Callithrix jacchus: one gene and its partners. The protein of the gene in region 2 interacts with the protein of the main gene of each other region in a biochemical or structural test. Links are inferred from orthologs where the notes say so. Each region holds a gene or a part of one and is shown on either strand. Other genes may lie near its edges.

The links.
Region 1: the proteins of STX1A (region 2) and SLC6A1 form a complex in vitro, tested with the Homo sapiens proteins (2 studies listed by BioGRID). The link is inferred for Callithrix jacchus from reciprocal best matches to the Homo sapiens genes STX1A and SLC6A1.
Region 3: the proteins of STX1A (region 2) and SNAP23 form a complex in vitro, tested with the Homo sapiens proteins (3 studies listed by BioGRID). The link is inferred for Callithrix jacchus from reciprocal best matches to the Homo sapiens genes STX1A and SNAP23.

What each region holds. Positions count from the first base shown.
Region 1 is NC_133516.1:68,199,746-68,206,315, reverse strand, and holds part of SLC6A1 (sodium- and chloride-dependent GABA transporter 1), read right to left. Parts: intron 5,042-6,570; coding exon 4,941-5,041; intron 4,186-4,940; coding exon 4,018-4,185; intron 1,922-4,017; coding exon 1,817-1,921; 3' UTR 1-1,816. UniProt on the Homo sapiens protein: Mediates transport of gamma-aminobutyric acid (GABA) together with sodium and chloride and is responsible for the reuptake of GABA from the synapse. The translocation of GABA, however, may also occur in the reverse direction leading to the release of GABA.
Region 2 is NC_133503.1:9,981,890-9,988,779, forward strand, and holds part of STX1A (syntaxin-1A), read left to right. Parts: intron 1-3,142; coding exon 3,143-3,220; intron 3,221-3,528; coding exon 3,529-3,628; intron 3,629-6,277; coding exon 6,278-6,352; intron 6,353-6,890. UniProt on the Homo sapiens protein: Plays an essential role in hormone and neurotransmitter calcium-dependent exocytosis and endocytosis.
Region 3 is NC_133509.1:30,174,519-30,181,445, forward strand, and holds the start of SNAP23 (synaptosomal-associated protein 23), read left to right. Parts: upstream 1-3,066; 5' UTR 3,067-3,150; intron 3,151-4,578; exon of another isoform or gene 4,579-4,686; 5' UTR 4,687-4,783; intron 4,784-5,305; exon of another isoform or gene 5,306-5,431; 5' UTR 5,432-5,472; intron 5,473-6,927. UniProt on the Homo sapiens protein: Essential component of the high affinity receptor for the general membrane fusion machinery and an important regulator of transport vesicle docking and fusion.

The DNA of each region.
Region 1 (6,570 bases), on a different chromosome or scaffold from region 2:
TTAAATACACTGCATTTGTCTTAGAGAGACTTGTTCTCAGTTTCACATTGAAGAACAAAGAGAAAGTTGGAAGTTCTTCCTGCCCTTAGTCTAAAGGAGTTCACACACAGATGGGGAAGTGGGACCATGAGATACAGTGAGGGGTTCCTGTCATTCTAAACACTATAATTTAACAATACATATGATTCTGATCATGGATTCACCAGCTGGCATTGGGGATGCCTTGGCAATAGGACTATTTTACAGATGACCTCAGAGGAAAAGGTTTTAGATTTCCTATACAATATCAAATGAGACCTTATGTGCCACACATGAGGATGAATGTGCATATTATGCGTTCATATGTATACACATATTTTTTTCTCTACAATAATGTGCTTAATATTCTGAGGGTAATATCTTATTGCAAGAACTGGTATGCTGGTCACTTTCAGATGAGAATGACAAGAGATTAAAAACCCCACAGTCACAGTTATTTACCATAGTTATTAAGGATTAGTCAAAAAACACGGCTTGTGAGCTAACTAGCTAAGGAGCTACGGGGCACAACATACGATTTGCTGCGTGGGAACCCATCTTCCTGGCAAATGAGACACGCGGAGCTATTGGAGCTTGCAAGAAACTGTCTTCACTTGAAGTGCTGCTGCCACCACGGAGCCCGATTCCAGAAAGGAACAAATCATACTTCCCAATGAAGCAGTTTGAATCTCGGAAGCACATTGCGGGGGGTTCTCTGGATTAACGCTAGCTCCTCGGTTAGTGGGCCGGGTGGGTTTCAGTGGCAGTGAGGAGACTCCTGCTGAGGAATTTCAAGGAAGGTGAGGCGGCAGCAGCTTGGGGCGGGTGGCAGTGAGGGTGGTAGTTTAAGAAGGAGACCGAAAGATTACTGGATCCGTCTTGAGTGTCGGACAGATCCTTCACCTTGATTTCTCCTGCAACTATTTTGTATTCTGTGAAATCGGGCAGCTTAAGAGAAACTGGAGCTCAGGTATGGGAAGTTTCCCCAGTAGGACCTGAGGCCCCTGGAATGGCGATAAAAATAGATCAGTTGTGCTTGTGGCAGTTTTCCAGCAAGCAGGGCTTGTCTGGATGGATTGCACTGGGCCAGGTCCAATCAGAATGGCCCGGCGGGGAGGGGACAGGGACATTGGGCTGCAGAATGCTCATTCATTCGGGCAGCGGGGACAAGGACACGCTGCAGATTGCGGGAGAAGCGGCCCTGGGAATATCGACTGAGGCCCCTGGGTTTTTTTTTTTTTTTTGTCCAGCTGCCTTGGAAAGGAGAAAACCAAAAACACGAAAGCCAGAGCTCCACTGGCTCCTGCTACTTAAGAGCAAGCGTTCCTGGGAAGTCTCCATTGTACAAAATGCCCTTTTCCTGTGCATGGAGCAGCGTTCCGAGGGAAAGGAACTCCTGCAAAATCCGAGATAACAGTCATGGGTTTCGGCAGTGAGAGAACAGTCAGGAACAGGTCTAAAAGCCAGGAGCACGTGTGGCCTCGCTGCATCACGCTCCCTGGCGGGATAAAAATGATCTACCGCGGCGGTTACCAAGGCCGATTGTGGGATGCTGATGGGGCCTAGATTAAAAAGGTCACCAGTCCACCGGGTACCAGAAGCCACTGGGTATCCTTGCCCACGGCAGGGCCCACCCAGAGGTCTAACTGTCCTCCCACCTCCCCTCTCTGCGTGGTGATGGTGTCTGGACTCGCCACTCGAGGTAGGTTGAGATAGAAGGTATCCTCAGACATCAAGTGGTGGTCGTGCTCAGCCAGGTCGGGGGGTGAGAGTGTTGGGTCGGCGAGCGGCCCCCACCCTAGATGTAGGCCTCCTTGCTGGTGGAGCTGCCGGCCTGAGGCTGCTCGGGACCATTCTCCGGGCGAACGATGTCTTCGCTGGGCTGGACCATGACTTGGATGCGCTGTGGGCACCAGGGAGGAAGGCGTGAGGCTCTCTGGAGAAAACCCCAGGCTGGGGTGGACAGGACAGGCTGTGTCCTTTTCCTGCCCTCTCTTCAAGCCCATCCTGTCTGCTCTGCCTCCAAGCTACACCCAGACTCCAGCACAGCCCCGCATCCTGCCCCACATGGGTCATGCCACAGCCCTTCTCACTTGGGTTATTGCAACAACTCCCAGCCCTCAGCTTCCACTCCCGCCTTCATTCTGTCCTCTCACCCCTTCATTTTGTCCTCAACATAGCAGCAGGAGAGTTCTGTGAAAACCAGACTCAGATCACGTCCCTCTACTACTCAGGACCCAACAGAGGCTCCCATTTCACTGAGAAGCAGAGCCAAAGTCCTCCAAGGCCTTACATGACCTGGCCCCTGCCACCTCCCAGTCCTCAGTGTCCTCCCTTCTCCCTCGTGTATCCATCCCATCCACATGGGACTCCTCAATGCCCCGCAAACACAACAGGCACGCTCACAACCAGGGCCTTTGCACAGGCTGCACCCTCTGTCCGGCACAGTCTTTCTCTCAGATAGTGACAGCTCGCTCTCCGCCTCCCAAGTCTTGGCTCAAATGTTTTGCCTTCTCAGTGAGGCGTCACCTGGCACTCCCTAAACCCCCACCTACTTGATTTTTCTCTATAGTGTTCTTCCCACCCCACATGTTTTTTTTGCTTGTCTTCCTCTACCAGCATGGGAGTTCTAGGAGGGTGTGATTTCTGCTTATCTTGTTCACGGCTGTGTCCGCAGCATGGACAGTCTTGCCTGGCACATCATCAGGGTTTCATCCACATGTGCAAGATGGATAGATCCCCCACTGCCTTTGCCATCCTGCCCCATCAGCTCACACCCTGGCCTCAGGTACGCCCTGGCTCTTCCTACCAATGGGCCTTTGCACAAGCTGTGGTCTTTTCTGCAAGGGCACCCCCTCGACCTCTCGTCATGCCAAGCCCCGGCTGCTGTTTGGGGTTCTCCAGTGGATCATGGAAAATGAAAGCTTTGGACCCACAGTGGGAAGAAAGGGCTACAAGCCCTGGCTCTGGTCATAGCTTCCTGAGCTGGGAACCTGCTCACCCAACCCCTGCGGTTCCTCAGTTTCTCCATCTGAGGTTAGAGGAGGATGGCCCAGTAACTCTGGGGCTGCACGTAACCTACAGCCCGGCTTCCCTGTGCCTTGGACCTGAGAGTGCTTCCCCTGGGCCTGGCAGGTGCATCTCCCAGGGAACTACAGCGGAGAGCTACTTGTCCAGGGCCCTTCATGCTCTGACTCTCCACTCTTCCCAGTGGCATCTTCTCAGCCTGCACACACCTCATCAATGTCTCTGCTTGGTGCCTCCAGCACTCCCTTACTCCCTCAAGAACTGAGTACAGTTTAACAAAGTGCAGGCATGGACAGAGAACCCTATATGATGGTGAGGCCCTTGCTGGGGGCAGCAGGTCTTTTGTGCTCTGTCATTCCTTGTGGGTAAGATCACATTTTCTCTATATTAACCCTACAAATGAGATCTAGAGTGAGCCCTGGGCAAATGTGATCCCACCCTCCATCTGTTCCAAGCCCTTCATGATGCCCCATTGCCACCAGGATAAAGGCCAAAGTTCTTGTACTGGTTTTCAAAGGCCTTCACGATCTGGCATACCTTCTTACATCCCAGCTTCATCTCTTGTCATGCCCCCTCCTCACACCTCTTTCCTCTTTACCCTCCAGCCACACTGATCTCCCTTCAGTTCACCCGATACGGTTTATACCCCCGGACCTTTGCACATGCTTCCCAACCTCTCCTCCCCTCCCTCTTCTGGTAATCTTCTTTCTGCTTCTACTTTTAAGTCTGGTTTATCCTTAGGCCTCTCCTTTGTTATCCCCTGTTCTGGAAATCCTTCTTCAATCCTCCTTAAACCAGGTAGGGCTGAGGCAGGGCTATTTGCTCCCACCCCCCTGCCTTTAATACTCTATTGTCTTTGGCTGTTGGTTTGTCTGTCTCCCCAGCTAGACTGTGAGCTTCATAAGGGGTGGGGCTGTTCCTGGCACAGTGGGGGAAGGGCACTGGCAATTTGGAAGGTGGGAAAGGGCTTACCTGCTTCAGAGAGCCCTTTAAGGTGAGGAACATGTAGGCCATGTACCCGGGGATGAGGACCATGGAAGACAGAGCCATGAGCCAGCCCACACCTTGGCCCCACTTGGGGAAAACGTAGCTTCCCATGGTGAGAGGCGTCATCTGCACAGCACTGAAAATGAACACACCCTGGAGAGGGTGGAGGGGAGGGCATGGACGGGGAGGAGTCAGTCACAGAATGGACCACCCTGAAGCCAGCAGGCCGACTGCCCTCTACCCTTGCCTGGAGGCTGACCCAGCACCTTATGCACTGCTAGCACATAAGGTGCTTTTGTACATAATAGAAAAAGACACCCTCTCAGGGAAGATCAGTACGAAAAGGCTACCCCTCCAAGGAGACTAATTAGAAAAGGGAACCCTTTCCTCCAAGTTCCCCAGCTTCGAAAGCAGAGCAAGGGTGAGGTATCAGCTCCTGGTGTGCCACTGGCAGGGTCCCCTTATGTGGGACACAACATATGTAGTGGCTCTGCCCCCACCTCAAGGACCTCGAATGGCTCCTCCCTGGCCTGCCCCTGCTTCAGCTCCTGCTTGTGGGAATGAGGGACCCTGTGAAGAAGGGGTCTGCAAGTGCCAAGAGCTTGAGCTTCAGAATCAGGCCAGCTTGATTCGAATCCCAGAACTGATTAGCTGGGTGACGCTGGCTAGGTGATCCCCAGATCCTGCAGCAGTAAAGTGGCACAATAATGCCTCTTTTCTGAGGTTTGTGAGGGTGATATATGTGTCTTGTACCACACAGAGTGAAGGACAGATGCCCAACAGATGGCAAAGGAAGTATTATTAAGTAACAGGGTTTCTGGGACCTCTTCCACCTGCCTTTGGACCTGATTTCCCCCAGGGCCTGGTCTAGCCTCATCCTAACAGGGCTAATCAGGTCTTCCTCTTACCGCCACAATGATTGGGGTGAAGAAAGACCAGCAGAGCTTCCACCAGATGCAGGGCCTGGAGCCAACCATCTCTTGGATATTGTCATAGAATCGGTTGACACCTGTGACATTGGGAGCAGGAGAGATGGATGAGCTGTGAGTACTTTAGGGTCAAAGCCTGGTGCTACCACTTTCTCATAGCATGACCATGGGCAAGAACCCTAACTTCTCTGAGCCTCGGTTTCCTTGTCTGTGCCATGGGGTTAATGCTCAGGGGGTCCTTGTTACTAAGTACTTTTCAATAGCCCAGTTCTCATAGCAAGTGTGTAGGTAAGCAAGTAACTTTAATGTGACGATATCTACCAACAAAAGGATATTGACAAGATAATCCCCTGCACCCCTGCCACTCTCAATGTCCCTCCCACTCTACATCTATCCCAGCCATTCCTTCAAAGGCTTTCCTGGGCAGGGGCTGTTTTTCCCTGATATACAGCTGCTATAAGAAACTGGTAATCAGCTGCAAAGAAGAACTGCAAATCTCACAAAAAAGAAAAACCCTAAACCCACAGGGTATCTAGAAGTTCACCAGAGTGGCTGGGCACTGCTCCAATTACAAGCAGAGTCACTGACCAGTGAGGATCTGACCATGTTAGAACAGTTAGAGAGAAAAGGTGGTACTGGGAGTGTAAATTAGTACAACTTCTATGGAAATCAGTACAGAGATTTCTCAAAGAACCAGAAATAGAACCACCATTTGATCCAGCAATCCCACTACTGGGTATCTACCCAGAGAAAAAGAAATTATTACATCAAAAAGGTATCTGTACTCATGTGTTTATTCACAATAGCAAAGATATGGAATCAACCTAAGTGTCCATCAGTGGATGGCTGGATAAAGAGAATATGGTATACATACACAGTGGAATGCTATTCAGCCATAAAATAGAATGAAGTCATGCCTTTTGCAAAAGCCATCATCTAAAGCAAAACAACTCAGAAACAGAAAGTCAAATACTGCATGTTCTCACTTAAAAGTGGGAGCTAAACACTGGGGACAGGTGGATATAGAGTAGAATAATAGACACTGGTGACTCAGAACGGTGGGAGAGTGGGAGCTGAGGTAGATGGTGAGAAATTACTTAGTGGGTAGAATGCACATTATGTGGATGATGGGTACACTTAAAGCCCAGATTTTGCCACTACACAAGATATCCATGTAACAAAATTGCACTCAGATCCTTTAAATTTATACATATATAAAAAAAGAGAAGGGACAATGACAAGGCAGAAGAGGTGGCAGATATTGCAAAGAGGTGATACAGAATATTATGTTTCTTTCAAAACATTTGCTCTGCTGTGACAATCAAATATGCAGGAAAGGATGTTGTCACTTTTTACTATCATGCAGTTGGCTCAGGAAACTTAGGCCACAAAACAAACAAAATCAATGTTTCTCTTGTGATTTGTTTTAAGGTAGTGCACACTTTTCATTACTGCCTAGCTTTTTAAATCTATAACTTTAAAACTTTAAAAAATGGTTTTGGTTTCTGTTTTCTGAATAAAATCTCCAAAACCCTTTTTATTCCAAAATTTATAAAGAAATGTTGGCACCTATTTTAAATGAATTCATTTAACGGCTCTTATATCTTCT
Region 2 (6,890 bases):
AGGGCAGTGGGATAAAGAGCAAAGCTGGGGATGAAGATTCCCAAGAAGGAAGGAAGAGGAGGACCTGGGAAGGAAGGGTCCCCTTGGCCCGTCCCCTCTAGGTTATGCTTGGAGCCGTGGCTGATTTGACCCTGGCTGAGAGGTCAGGCCCTCAGCCCTCCAACTGGCTTAGGGGCCAATCTCAGTGCCACTTCCAGGGTAGACCTGACCTGGGTGCCCCCATCAGACCCTGGCCCTGGTCTCCCTTTCCCCAGCCCTTCCCCCATAGACAGAGGGGCCAGAGGAGGGTGTGGGCATCTCTCCTGCCAGCCCTTCTGTTAGAGAAGCTTCCTCGTTCAGTCTTCAGCCTTTTGGGAGGTAGCAAGTCAGAGCTGGCCAGATGCCTGGAGAAGATACACCCCCACTACACAGATGGGCAAGCTGAGGTCAAGAGAGGCACCAGCCAGGTGCCCAGGGATCTCTGAGGACAAGACAGGGGTTTGGTGGGGCTGGCAGTGACTCTTGTCTCTGGCCACAGGAAAGGAGCTGGCAAACTCTCCTTCTACCCTTTGTCATCTACCTGTGTTCTCTGAGCGCCAGGGAAGAGAGGGCAGGATGCAGAAGGCAGTAACTCCTGCGGCCCCTTCCCAACCTGGCAGGCTGCCCAGAGGAGGAACTGCACTCCTCCTGGCTGTGCTCTGCCTCGGTTTCCCTAGGGAGGGCTCCTCTGACTCAACTCCTGGGCCTGTCACGGTCTAAAACATGAAAACAGCTCCTGGATTTGTGGGGGGCCTGGTGGGGGAGGGGTGCCACCTGGTGACAGCCACAGGCACTTGGTGGGGAGCAGGAACAAGAATTTATTTTAGCTGCTGGGGAGGTGGTGTGATATCTTGAAGAGAGGAGGCCCCTCTGAGCCGCCTCTATCAAAGCTCCCACCCACCCCCTCTCCCAATGAGTCCCCCCACTTTGCTGGTGTGATGGGAGCTGTGAGCCCCAGGGGCACAGCCCCTCACAGAACATGCTCAGGCCGGGCTCTGTGGCTCCCACGTGTACTCCCAGCACTTTGGGAGGCCACCGTGGGAAGATCACTTGAGCCCAAGAGTCCGAGACCAGTCTGGGCAACACAGTTGGACCCTGTCTCTACAAAAAAAATAAAAAAATTAGCTGTCTGTGGTGGCATGTACCTATAGTCCCAGCTGCTTGGGAGGCTGAGGGGAAAGGATATCGAGCCTGGGAGGTCGAGGCTGCAGTGAGTTGTGATTGTGCCACTGCTCTCCAGTCTGGGTGACAGAGCACGACCCTGTCTCAATCAGTCAATCAAATGAACAAACATGCCCTGCTTCCCCGCTCATCCTCAGCCCTCCCTCTGCGCAGCCAGGTGTCACTGTCCCCATGGCATAGAAGAGCAAACAGCCAGAGGGGTCAAGGCCCAGCCTGATGAGTCCCCTCACTCTCAGCCCCTCAGCCTCACCTGCCTCCATCCTAACAAGAGAGGACCAAGGTGGAGTCAGTGCTAGGCCAGGCAGTGGCCTCTCCCGTGAGGCAGTCAGAAATGAGGGGAACAAGACCAGGCAAGGTGGCTTACGCCTGTAATCCCAGCACTTTGGGAGGCCGAGGCAGGTGGATCACTTGAGGTCAGGAGTTCGAGACCAGCCTGGCCAACATGGTGAAACCCCATCTCTACTAAAAATACAAAAATTACCCGGGCGTGGTGGAGCGGGCCTATAGTCCCAGCTACTCTAAGGCAAGAAGCTAAGGCAGGAGAATTGCTTGAACCCAGCAGGCAGAGGTTGTAGTGAGCTGAGATCACAACACTGCACTCCAGCCTGGGCAACAGAGTGACTCTCTTAAAAAAAAAAAAAAAAAAAAGAGGTAAGAACAAGCCCTGAGCCCCAGGCTGAGAGACGTCAGTCCCTGATCCAGAATGGCCACCCCGGATAGCCTTGCCTTGGCTGCAGAGAGAGAGACGCTGGCCTTGCCAGCCAGGTGGGCTGACCCCGGCTGACTCTTGGTGTGAGGTAGACAGTAATCACCATGCCCAGCATGCTGGGAAGTCAGAAGTATAACTACCCCCTCCCCATGATGGGGGTGGCTTTTGTACAGCGGCTCCTGGGTGGTGGGGTGGGGCCTGCACCTGTGGCTGAGGCCTAAGGCAGGACTCGAGACATCTGGCAACATGATTGGCCCCTCATGCCTGCTGGGCCCAGGTCTGGGGCAGAAGGAGGCAGAGTGAGGTCCAATGTCAAGATTGACAGGGAGGCCAGGTGTGGTGGCTCACACCTATAATCCCAGCGCTCTGGAAGGCTGAGGCAGGAGGATCACTTGAGGCCAGGAGTTCAAGACCAGCCTGGGCAACATAGTGAGACCCCCCTAACCACCGTCTCTACAAAAATGAAAATTAAATTTAAAAATGGTTTTACAAAAAGATGGCCAAGAGATTCTTAGGAGATCTTCTGAGCCATCCCACCTCTGGGCTGGGGTTTAGTGGCGCCCAGCCCTGGAACAGAGTGGACAGGCTTCCTTCCCGTTACAGGGCCCACTCTGGAAAGGGAGCTTGGGACCTCTGGGCTCCACCTGAATTTAAACCACTGGGGCCACTCATGGTTGTGCACACCTATAATTCCAGCTACTTGGGAGGCCAAGGTGGGAGGATCAATTAAGCCCAGGTGTTCAAGGCTGCAGTGAGCTGTGATTGCACCCCTGCACTCCATCCTGGGTGACACAGCAAGACCTCCGCTCTAAAAAGTGTGTGTGGGTGTGTGTGCGAACCACTGGCCAGGAGAGTAGAGATGCTCTTTCCAGGCAGCTGTCCCAAGGGTCTAGGGGACCCAGAGGGGCTGGCCCCAGGCTGGATTGCCTCCCCAGCTGCAGGGAGAGGGTGGTCGGATAGGCGAGGGAGGGAATCCCCGGCCCAGAGGTTGAGTCTTGGCCTTGACACCAGTGTGCCAGGGAAGGTTCCTCTCTTTCTGCCCACCCCGCAGTGGTCCTCCAGGTCTTCCTGTGGCTGAGAGTGGAGGGCACAGCCAGGCCTGTTCTTGTCCCTGCCCAGAGGCCTCCAGGGAGAGGGGGAGGGGTGGGGCTCCGGCGCTGCACCCTGGGCACCTGCGTGTGTACAGGTGGGTCCTATACACACATCCGCTCATGTGTACACAACCCCGCACAGGCCAAGGACAGCGATGATGATGACGATGTCGCTGTCACCGTGGACCGAGACCGCTTCATGGATGAGTTCTTTGAGCAGGTGGGAGCACACCCCACCCTCCCCGCACACTAGCAGACCTCGGGGGGCCTCTTACCCACCTGCACCCGGCTCAGCAGCTCTGGGGTGCCAATGAATGAACCGCTTTGAGGGTGAATAGATGGAAGCTCAGAGCAGAGCTAAATCTGGGATCGAACTCCTCCCCATCTGGGTCTGGAGGGACACACCCCCTTGGAGCCTGCCTGGCCTGTCCCTGAGCCCTGACCGCAGCCCTGCTCCGGGCCAGCCCTGGGCCCCAGAAGCCTCCTCCCCCGATTTCCTCCTCCTGATCACCCGGCCTTGGTCCGCAGGTGGAGGAGATTCGAGGCTTCATTGACAAGATCGCAGAGAACGTGGAGGAGGTGAAGCGGAAGCACAGCGCCATCCTGGCCTCCCCCAACCCTGATGAGAGTGAGTGTGGGGTCAGGGACAGGTTTCAGGTCCCACAGGTCTCCCAAAGGGGCTGCTGCCAGGAAGGCCTCATAGGACCTCAGCAGCCTTCATGGCTGGTGGGCTTAGGTGTGCCTGGGCTGGCCAGGGTCAGAAGGGTTTCATGAGAAGCTTTGGGAAATGCTGCTGTCCCCAGCCTGGAATTGGGGGATCAGTACCCAGCATCCCAGGACAGCCAGACCAGGTATCCACGAAGACTTGGGTGGTGGGAGAGGCGATCGGCTCCACCCTTCCCAGGTGAACTGGCTTTTTTCTAAGGCAACCAGGCTGGCTGCAGCCCTAGGCTTCTGGGAGTGAGGGAGGGAAGGCAGGAGCTGTCTGTGATCATTAGGCACCCTCTCAGCCCAGCCCAGCCCCTCCCCTCGACTCCCAGGGGAGCAGATGGCAGCTCTGAGGCGTCAGCGCTGTGGGAGGGCAAGCTGGCCAAGCAGGCAGAGCTTCCGGAAAGAGCTGGCAGCCCTGGCCCCTGGCCACGTGGCACCCTGGGGGTGGGCATTATCAGGGCTCCAGGAAGTCACCCCTCTCCATCCGGGCTGGGAGCCTGTGTGGGTCAGGCTTGCACTCTGCCCCCAGACAGGCCCCCCTGACCTGGCCCTCTCGTTCCTGTTGTGATATTGGTCACTCTCCTGAGAGGTGCCAGGCTGATGGCATAGGTGCAGGCCCGCCTGGGTCCCCTCCTCTGGAGGGGGGCTCACCCAGAGTCCCAGGGATGCAGCAGTCAGGTGTTTGAGGGAGGAAGTCTCCCAGGCTCAAATGTTCTCACCTCCAGCACGGCTTACCCCCAAGCCCACTTGGGCATCTTCAAGAACTTGGAGTAGGTCTTTCCACAGTGCCTGAACCGAGGTCGAGGTCACACCAATCAAGCCAGTTCCCCGCCCTCGGAAGGCAAAATAGGTCAGGTGGGAGCAGGGTGGATTGCCTCAGTAAGGCCAGGAGGGAGAGAGGGATGCCCAGGGCTCACCACGCTGCGCTCCTTGCCCGAGAGATTTGTTGGATGGCAGCATGAGCCGGATGCCTGTGCGTCTGGAGGTATCTGGGTCACCGTGTGCATGTTTCCCTGTGTGGGGCTGCTCCTGCTCAGGGTCAGGAGGTGGCTGATTGTGGGGTGGGGACAGAGGGCTCTAAACAGCAGGGGAGTGGGCCTGTCATTGCAGGTAGGTGGGGTGGGCGTGGGGCAACAGAGCTGTCTGCTCCATACCTCGGGTCCCCGCAGGCCACCTCCTGCACCGTCTCCCACCTCGGTGTCAAGCACAGTCACAGGGACTGGTTCTGAGTCACCACCTGTGAGCAGACGGTTGAGACCTGGTAGTCCCAGGCTCTCGCCAAGGGGAGGGGGCTCATGTTGGGGGTTCTAGGGCACAGGTGGCACAGACTTAGGGAGGAGTCTCAAGGAAAGATGGCAGTGAGTGGGGGGCTCTCCTGGGCAAGGCAGGCTCTGCCTCCTCGGGGCTGCCATCCGGCCTGCGCTATTTTGGGTCTGAGCAAAAGAGGCTGAGACGTCAGAGCAGCTGGTAACCGAGTTTTCCTTTGTTCCTACGGATGAGGCGCCCTCCTCCGCGCCTCGGAACCCCCTCTTCTGTGCTCCACCCCATCGCATTCCACTTGAGAGGTGACCCCATCTGAGGCCTTCCTCATAGACCTCTCTCAGCACCCCTCCCCATCCCTCTAGAACAAACCCCAGCCCCAGAGGCAGGCAGAGGGGCGGGTGGGAAGGTGACAGCCGGAGCTCAATCCCGGCTTCTCCCAGGGTGGAGTCCTGGGGGTGTCCTGAGACTGGGCTGTTGCCAGGAGCACCCCCAGGGGAGGCAGCTGTCTTGCCCCACTTTTCCAGCTAGCTCCTCTCAGGGAGGGGGCGAGCTGGGCGCCCCACGGCCTCTGCCAGCCTTAGGGAGATGGCTGTAGCTGGAACCAGGACCACACGACACTATCCACCCTCCTCCAGCTTCACCAGGGCCCCGGCTACCTGCCACGGCCAGGGCCGACTGTGCCCACCTCTTTGAACCTGAGGGCCCACATCAGCCCCCACGCAGGCCGTCCGCCCCTTGTCCGCTTCCACCTGCTGGGCACTTAGCACCCAGGGAGGCGCAGCTTTGTGGAAATAGCTGTCTGCCCCACCCAGAGTGTTTGAGCCTGCAACTCAGGAAGTGCGAGGTGGGGGAGGCTTCCTGCCACCCCTGGTCCCCTGTCAGTCCCTGGCTGGGCTGTGTGCCCTCCTGAGCCATTAGGTAACACCAGGTGAGCCCGAACCCCCCACCTTCAACTCCAACAAGCATCAAGTCCCTGTTTCTTGCGCTGACTCCAGCGTCGCCAGCTGCTCCACAATTATTTCTGCCTTAAATTTAGACCCATCTGTTATCTCCAGGGGGTGGGGGCGCCGGCGAAGGAGGAAGGGAGGCTCCTCCGAAGACAGCACAAGAGGGGGTGAGGCTGCAGCTGGTGTGGCCCTGGTCCAGAATTGGGGGGGACAGGCAGAGCCCTAGCCAGGGGAACAGGGGAGAACTGGGATCTACCGAGAGCCCCCCGTTGGGTCCCCTGTGCCAGAGGCCGAGCCTGAACATCAGTTCTTGGGGGAGCCTAGGGGGTCTACTCCCACCCTTTCTACCTCCCCAGAGACGAAGGAGGAGCTGGAAGAACTCATGTCGGACATAAAGAAGACAGCGAACAAAGTCCGATCCAAATTAAAGAGTGAGTCAGGCTTGTCTGGGGTGGGTGGGGGGTATTCTAGGCCTGCTTCCTCTGGGTAGCCCATGGGGTTTTGCTTGCCTTGAGGGGGTGTGCCGGATCTTGCTTTCCTTTCTGAGGGTGGTGTCATGTGCCCATTCACTCAACAGCTACTTGGCAAGGCCCATTGGTGCCAGGCTCTGGGCTGGGCCCAGGGACACACCCGCCCAAGGCTTTGTGGAGGGGGTACTCCACTCTGGGCGGGCACTGCCCCTCACTTATGCTAAAGAGGGTTAAAGAAGTGGCCAGCACTTCCTGGTCTCATGCAGAAGCCCGGTATGCTGGGTGAACCCAGACACGCACACCCCACGCCCTGCAGGAGGACCCCCCCTTGGCTCTCCCCACTGTGGACATGGCCCCTCCTACACAGCCAGCCTCTGAGCAGAAAGGGGGTGGTACCAAGGCACAGGGTGTCCGGAGCTAGCAGACATCATGCACATGCAGAGCCTGGGGTAGGTGTGCATTTACACAGGTGCACACACCACACCGCGTCACAGCTGGA
Region 3 (6,927 bases), on a different chromosome or scaffold from region 2:
CCTAGCAACCACTCTACTTTCTGCCTCTATGATTTTGACTGTACTCCACAGAGGATATTCTATGCACATACAGTTGTCCCTCGCTATCCATGGCAAATTGGTTCCAGGATCCCCCTCAATACCAAAATCTGAGAATGCTAAAGACCCTTATGTGAAATGGCATAGTATATGCATGTAACCTACACATACCTTCTGTATACTTTAAATCATCTCTACGTTACATACAAGACCTACTACAATGCCTACACATAACTTCATTTCTGTGGATGCAATGTAGTACGTACTCAGCAGGTAGCAAATTCAAGTTTTCTTTTTCAGAGCTTCATGAAAATTTTTTCCCCAAATATTATCCATCCAAAGTTGGTTGAATCCATGGATGCAGATCCCATGGACGGATATGGAGGACCAACTGTATATGCAATACATATATTTTTATAAAACCACAGTGGTTGCAAAATGCATACCTTCTTTTGCACCTTTTCTTTCTCACTATATCTGAGGTCACTCAATATTAGCACATATAGAGCTGACTCATTCTTTCCAGCACATGGATACATTTATTTTACCAATCCTTTACTGATGAACACCTGGGAACTTCTTGATAGTTTCTTTCAGATTAATAGATGCATGCACACACACTGGACTGTAGGGCTTCACTAGTGATTTCACATGCTAGAGGTCCAAGTAGAGTATTCATATGTAACTTGTCTGCCTCGATGCTCTTATTCATTGGGTACACAATTAATCCTGAACTCTCCAAGATTCTCCAATTACAAAACACAATGCATAGGCTTCTCACTGACCCATTCCTGGTCCCAAAACCAAATCATCTAGCATCTACCATTATTCCTTTCTACTCTTGTCGAGCAGCCTTCAAACTACATGTGTTCTAATCTAGATGTACAATAATCGCTATTCAGTTTCACCTGAATCATATCAAGTGATCTGCTCTAACTTCCAGTTTGTAGTAGCAAGTGAAATGCTATCACCAGAAACCAATCAGGGACAAATCTAGATAACTGACCAGGTCCTTTCAACAACTCACGTGGAGGGGGTATCGAGGGAAAGAGAGGGGAAAAGGTAACTGTTCTAGATTAAAAGAGAATTCCAGAGATAAAAATCAGATGAAATCTATGGTCTTTTTAGTATCTTCCTTTTACTCAAAACGATCCAGGTTAGGCGAGGTGGCTCAAGCCTGTAATTTCAGCACTTTCGGAAGCTGAGGTGGGCGCATCACCTGAGGTCAGGAGTTCGAGACCAGCCTGGCCAACATGATGAAACAGTGTCTCTACTAAAAATACAAAAATTTGCCGGGGGTGGTGGTGGATGCCTGTAATCCCAGCTACTGGGGAGGCTAAGGCAGGAGAATTGCTTGAATCAGCGAGGCAAACATTGCAGTGAGCAGGGTTTGCCCCACTGCACTCTGTCCTGGACGACAGAGCAAGACTCGTCTCCGGGAAAAAAAAAAAGTTAACTCTAGAAACTGTAACTGTAATGCAGTTTGCTTGGGAAAAGACGTGCTTTTGGAATCGTATTAAGTGAATTTCACCACCTACTCTAGCTAGTTTAGCTTGAGCAAATTACTAGCAAAATCCCAGCGATCTCATTTGAAATGCTGCAGAAACCTACTTTCCATTACAATATCTCATTAATATTTTTATGACACACGTAAATGTAATTGGCAACTGTGTAGTAGATACTAAATAAATTCTAGTTGCATCTGAATACTGTCGTCCCTTATTTCATTCACGACCAAACTTGAGAACGGGCCTTAAAGCAAAAAAAAAAAAAATTTTTTTTTGAGATTGAGCCTCTCTCTCGCCCAGGAGGGAGTACAGTGGCGCGGTCTCGGCTCACTGCAACCTCCGCTTCCTGGGGCTCAACCGATTCTCTGCCTCAGCCTCCAGAGTCCTGGGATTACAGGCGCCCACCACCAAGCCCGGCTAATTTTTTGTATTTTTAGTACAGACGGGGTTTCACCGTCTTGGTCAGGCTGGTCTTGAACTCCTTGACCTCGTGATCCACCCGCCTAGGCCTCCCAAAGATCGCAGGCATGAGTCACCGCGCCCGGCCCTTAAAGCAAATTTTAAGGTTTCCCATGGGATTTACAACAGTACTAAACTCTTAGTAAGTACTCAAAAGTTATTTGTGGTTTGAATAGGCTGGATATAAACCATTACGGTGGATACAGCACTTGTTTGCTAAGCAAGAGAACTTCCCTGACCTAGAATGGCAGTCTCAAGTTGCTAAAAGCGAATCTCGAACTTCTCAACAAATCTTACTCTCAAAGATGATTAAACAACAAACTGAAATGGGAGGAGGGTGTAAAGCGTTTCCTCTCCATAACTATAAACCGAGATTCTGACTAAATATTAAATGAACACAGTAACCGCTCCATAATTAGTTGCCATTATTAAGATACATCACACACGGAGAGAAAGGAAAGGAGAAAAAGGAACGAAGGTTGTCAGTCGCGAGAGGTTGAAATGTGTCGCGGGACCTGAGACTACCGGCTTTAAGCACCAGGGTCTTTTGGACTCCCTGCCCAACTGAGGACCGAAGGTCAGCGGCTTCCCCTAAAGGTCAAGGCTTTGGAGCCACATTTCCTTCTGGGGCTGGGAGCAGAGCTGGAACGCCCCCACGAAAATCCGTACCCCGAAGCCAGCAGCACCGCCTGCCTGTAATCCCGCGCCGGCTCTGGGAGAGTGGACCGCTGGGTTACCCCTGCGCCGCAGCCTGCCGGAGCAGAAAGCGGGCCGCGTCTTGCAGCCACACAATCTCCCTAAGGGACAGACCACCAGGACCCTTGGGCTCCAATACGCTCAACGCAGGCCGGCCCATCGATACTCACATTCACAGCCAACCCCTCTTACTCCATCAGGCCGCCGAGAGACAGGCGAGGGAGCTCCCTGACGCCCCAGACTCCCCCCTTCAGTTTTGGGTCCGGGAGCCTGCTCCGGACCCGCTCCCCGCCGGGCCCTGCCACAGCCGCCGCCAGCGCGCAGGCGCACAGCGAGGCCGTCACGCTCTTTTTTTTCCTTTGCCTGCAGCCGTTCTCAATAATCTAGCTTTATTTGAACACAAGAGAGTGAACAACGGACACACAGGAAGAGGTTTTTCTCAAAAAGAATGGAGGAAGAACAAAGGCAGGTCAGCTTGCGGGAGAGTCGGTCCGCAGCATTGGACGCTATGAACAGTCTCCCTGGTCCCTTTTTCATTTTCTTTATTTCTCCTTGTTCTTTCCCGGCCTCCCTCTAGCTCCTTCCTTGGTGTCCCGCCATTTCCTTTAGTCAGTGGCAACTGTTCAGGCTAAAATTTGAAATAACTCCTTCCTTGTAAAATTTACTAAAATTTAATGGGAGGTGCAAGAGCTTTTAGGACAGACCTGCCCGAGTTTCAGATCTCGGACTAGCTACTAATAATTTACGACTTTGGGTAAATTAAAATTTTTCTTGGAACCTCAAGATCTTGAGTTAAAATTAGGATAATGTTGGGCCAGTCACGGTGGCTCATGCCTGTAATCTCAACACTTTGGGAGGCCGAGGTGGGTGGGTCAGGAGATGGAGACCATCTTGGCCAACATGGTGAAACCCCTTCTCTACTTAAAAAAAAAAAAAAAAAAATAGCCTGGTATGGTAGCGGGCGCCTGTAGTCCCAGCTACTCAGGAGGCTGAGGCAGAAGAATCGCTTGAACCCGGGAGGCAGAGGTTGCAGTGAGCCGAAATGACGTCACTGCACTCTAGCCTGGCAACAGATCATGACTCGGTCTCAAAAAAAAAAAAACAAACAAAAAACCCTAAAATTAAGACAATGTTATCTCACAGGGTGTTGCTAAAATTAAATAACATAGGTCAAGTGTTTTATCCATGAATGCTGCCTATCACAGAGCAGACATTCCATTATAACTGGTTTTATTCTTACTCATGCCTAAGGTATTTATAATTTTTTTTTTTTTAGGTAGAAACGGGTTTCACCATCTTGCCCAGGCTAGTCTCAAACTCCTGGGCTCAAGTGAACAGCCTTCCAAAGTGCTGGATTACAGGTGTCACCCACTGCGCCCAGCCTACATTTATTATTATTACTGAGACGAAGTCTCACTCTGTCATCCAGGCTGGAGTGCAGTGGCACTATCTTGGTTCTCTGCAACCTCTGCCTTCCGGGTTCAAGCAGTTCTCCTGCCTCAGCCTCTCAAGTAGCTGGAATTACAGACATACACCACCATGTCCAGATAATTTTTGTATTTTTAGTAGAGATGGGGTTTCGCCATGTTGGCCAGGCTGGTCTCAAATTCCTGACCTCAAGTGATCTGCCCGCCCCGGCCTCCCAAAGTCCTGGGATTACAGATGTGAGCCACTGTGCCCAGCCGCCTATATTTATTATTAAACTTAGCTCATACCCATTCCCTCAGAGCCGTAATTTTAGTGACTGAGACTAATCAGATAAAGGAAATGACATTAAGGTTGATCATTATGTGAAGTGTTCCTCTTATATTATTGAGATTATAACATCTCTGTTTAACCAGACCGTCAATGCCTCAAATAAAAGTGAGCAGTTACATTCATCTCTATGTATATCCAGATTTGCTTCTAGAGGTTCAGGAAACTTCCAGTTCTGTGTTTGTGACATCACAAGTCCTTGAAACACTCAAGGGCTATGGTATGCTGCTCATTTTACTCTCCTTCAAAGGCATGCAATGGAAGAACTATTTTGCCCTGTAAACTCTGGCCCATCGTTCAAGGAAAAGCCTTTAGAAGACCACAGTCAGATATTGGTGATTATTAAGGTAAGCTACTTTAGTGTTTGTCAACTTTGGGATTACTGACATTTTTGGAACATATACTTTTTTGTTGTCAAGGGTATTATGTGCATTATAAGATGTTTAGCAGCAGATCGGGAGCACTAGCTCACATATGTAATCCTAGAACTTTGGGAGGTCAAGGCAGACAGATCGCTTGAGTCCAGGAGTTTGAGACCAGCATAAGTGACATGGTGAAACCTCATCTCTACAAAAAATATGAAAGTTAGCCGGGTGTGGTAGTACACACCTGTACTCCCAGCTACTTGGGAGGCTGAGGTGGGAGGATCTGAGCTGCAGAGGTAGAGGTTGCAGTGAGCCAACATCACACCACTGCCCTCCAGTCTGAGCAAGACCCTGTCTCTCTTTCTCTCTCTGTCTGTCTCTCTCTCTCTCTCTCTCTCTCTCTCTGTGTGTGTGTGTGTGTATGTGTGTGTGTGTGTGTATGTTTAGCAGCATCACTGGACAAGATGCCAGTAGTATCCACCCCCCATTTCCCTGTTATCACAGACATTGCTAAATATCCTCTGGAGGACAAAAGTGTCCCTGGTTGAGAACCATGGAATTATTATCAATGACCATCCCAACCCTAAATGAACTCAACTGTGCATTTTCTCCACCTCTGCCCTTGAAAAGTGACTACTGCTTGAGAAAGCTACACAGGAAGGGAGAAAATGGTGAGTTCATTTTTGCCCATATTAAAAAGGCCCTCAGTACTGCTTACCAGTCCTACAATGTTTTTCTATCCATTTCTTGTATTACTTTCTACAATATTCCAAATCTTCTCAACTTTCCTTTAAACTCCCAATACTATCTCCTTTTCTGTCAGATGATCCTATCTCCAACCTCACAGAGAAAACAGGTCATCAAATGAGAACTTTAACTTCCTTTTACTAAACATACAAACAGACACATTCTTCCTCTCATAATTGGGGAAGGAAGTATCTTCACTCTCTCTCTTTCTCCCTCCCTCACTTCTTCCAAAACCACTCCTCTCACCAGTGCTTTGAACTGCCTCGAAACTGCTGCTATTCTTACCCTTTCAAGAACTTTCCCTACTGACTATCCCTTCTCTTCCTTTATTCGAACATTATTTCTCAGTTGAATCTTCCCTACAGTGCTCAAATTTCTCCTGTCTTAATTTTAACAAAAACCCAAAAAAACACCTGGGCTCGGTGGCTCACGCCTTTAATCCCAGCACTTTGGGAGGTGGGCAGATCACGAGATCAAGAGATCAAGACCATCCTGGCCAACATGGTGAAACCCCATCTCTACTAGAAATACAAAAATTAGCTGGGCATGGTGGCGTGTGCCTGTAGTCCCAACTACTTGGGAGGCTGAGGCAGGAGAAGTGCTTGAACGCAGGAGGCGGAGGTTGCAGTGAGCCGAGATCCCGCCACTGCACTCCAGCCTGGCACCTGTCGACAGAGCAAGACTCTGTCTCAAAAAAAAAAAAAAAAAAAAAATTAGGCCGGGCGCGGTGGCTCAAGCCTGTAATCCCAGCACTTTGGGAGGCCGAGGTGGGTGAATCACGAGGTCAAGAGATCGAGACCATCATGGTCAACATGGTGAAACCCCGTCTCTACTAAAAATACAAAAAATTAGCTGGGCACGGTGGCGCGTGCCTGTAATTCCAGCTACTCAGGAGGCTGAGGCAGGAGAATTGCCTGAACCCAGGAGGCGAGAGGTTGCGGTGAGCCGAGATCGCGCCATTGCACTCCAGCCTGGGTAACAAGAGCGAAACTCCGTCTCAAAAAAAAAAAAAATCCAATAAACAAAAACAAAAAATCTTGATCCTTCATCATCCTCCCTCCTTCCTCCCTGTCAAGGCCAACCTTTCCAAAAGCATTCTACAACCTGTCCCTATCTCTACATCTCCCCCATCTCCAAACTATTGTTTCTTTCAACCCCAGCATTTCACCAAACAGCTTTCACTGAGATAATCAGTGACCACTGTGTTACTAAATTTAAACATTTCTCAGGCTTCGTCCTCCTTGATACCTTAGGAATAGACTACTTCCTTTTGAAGCACTTTCTTTTCTTGATTTCCAGCACTTTGTTTTATTCTTAGAGGTGCGTGGAAAGGTTCCTGCAGCAAATGGTTTACAATAATCACCCATCTGCTTAAAACC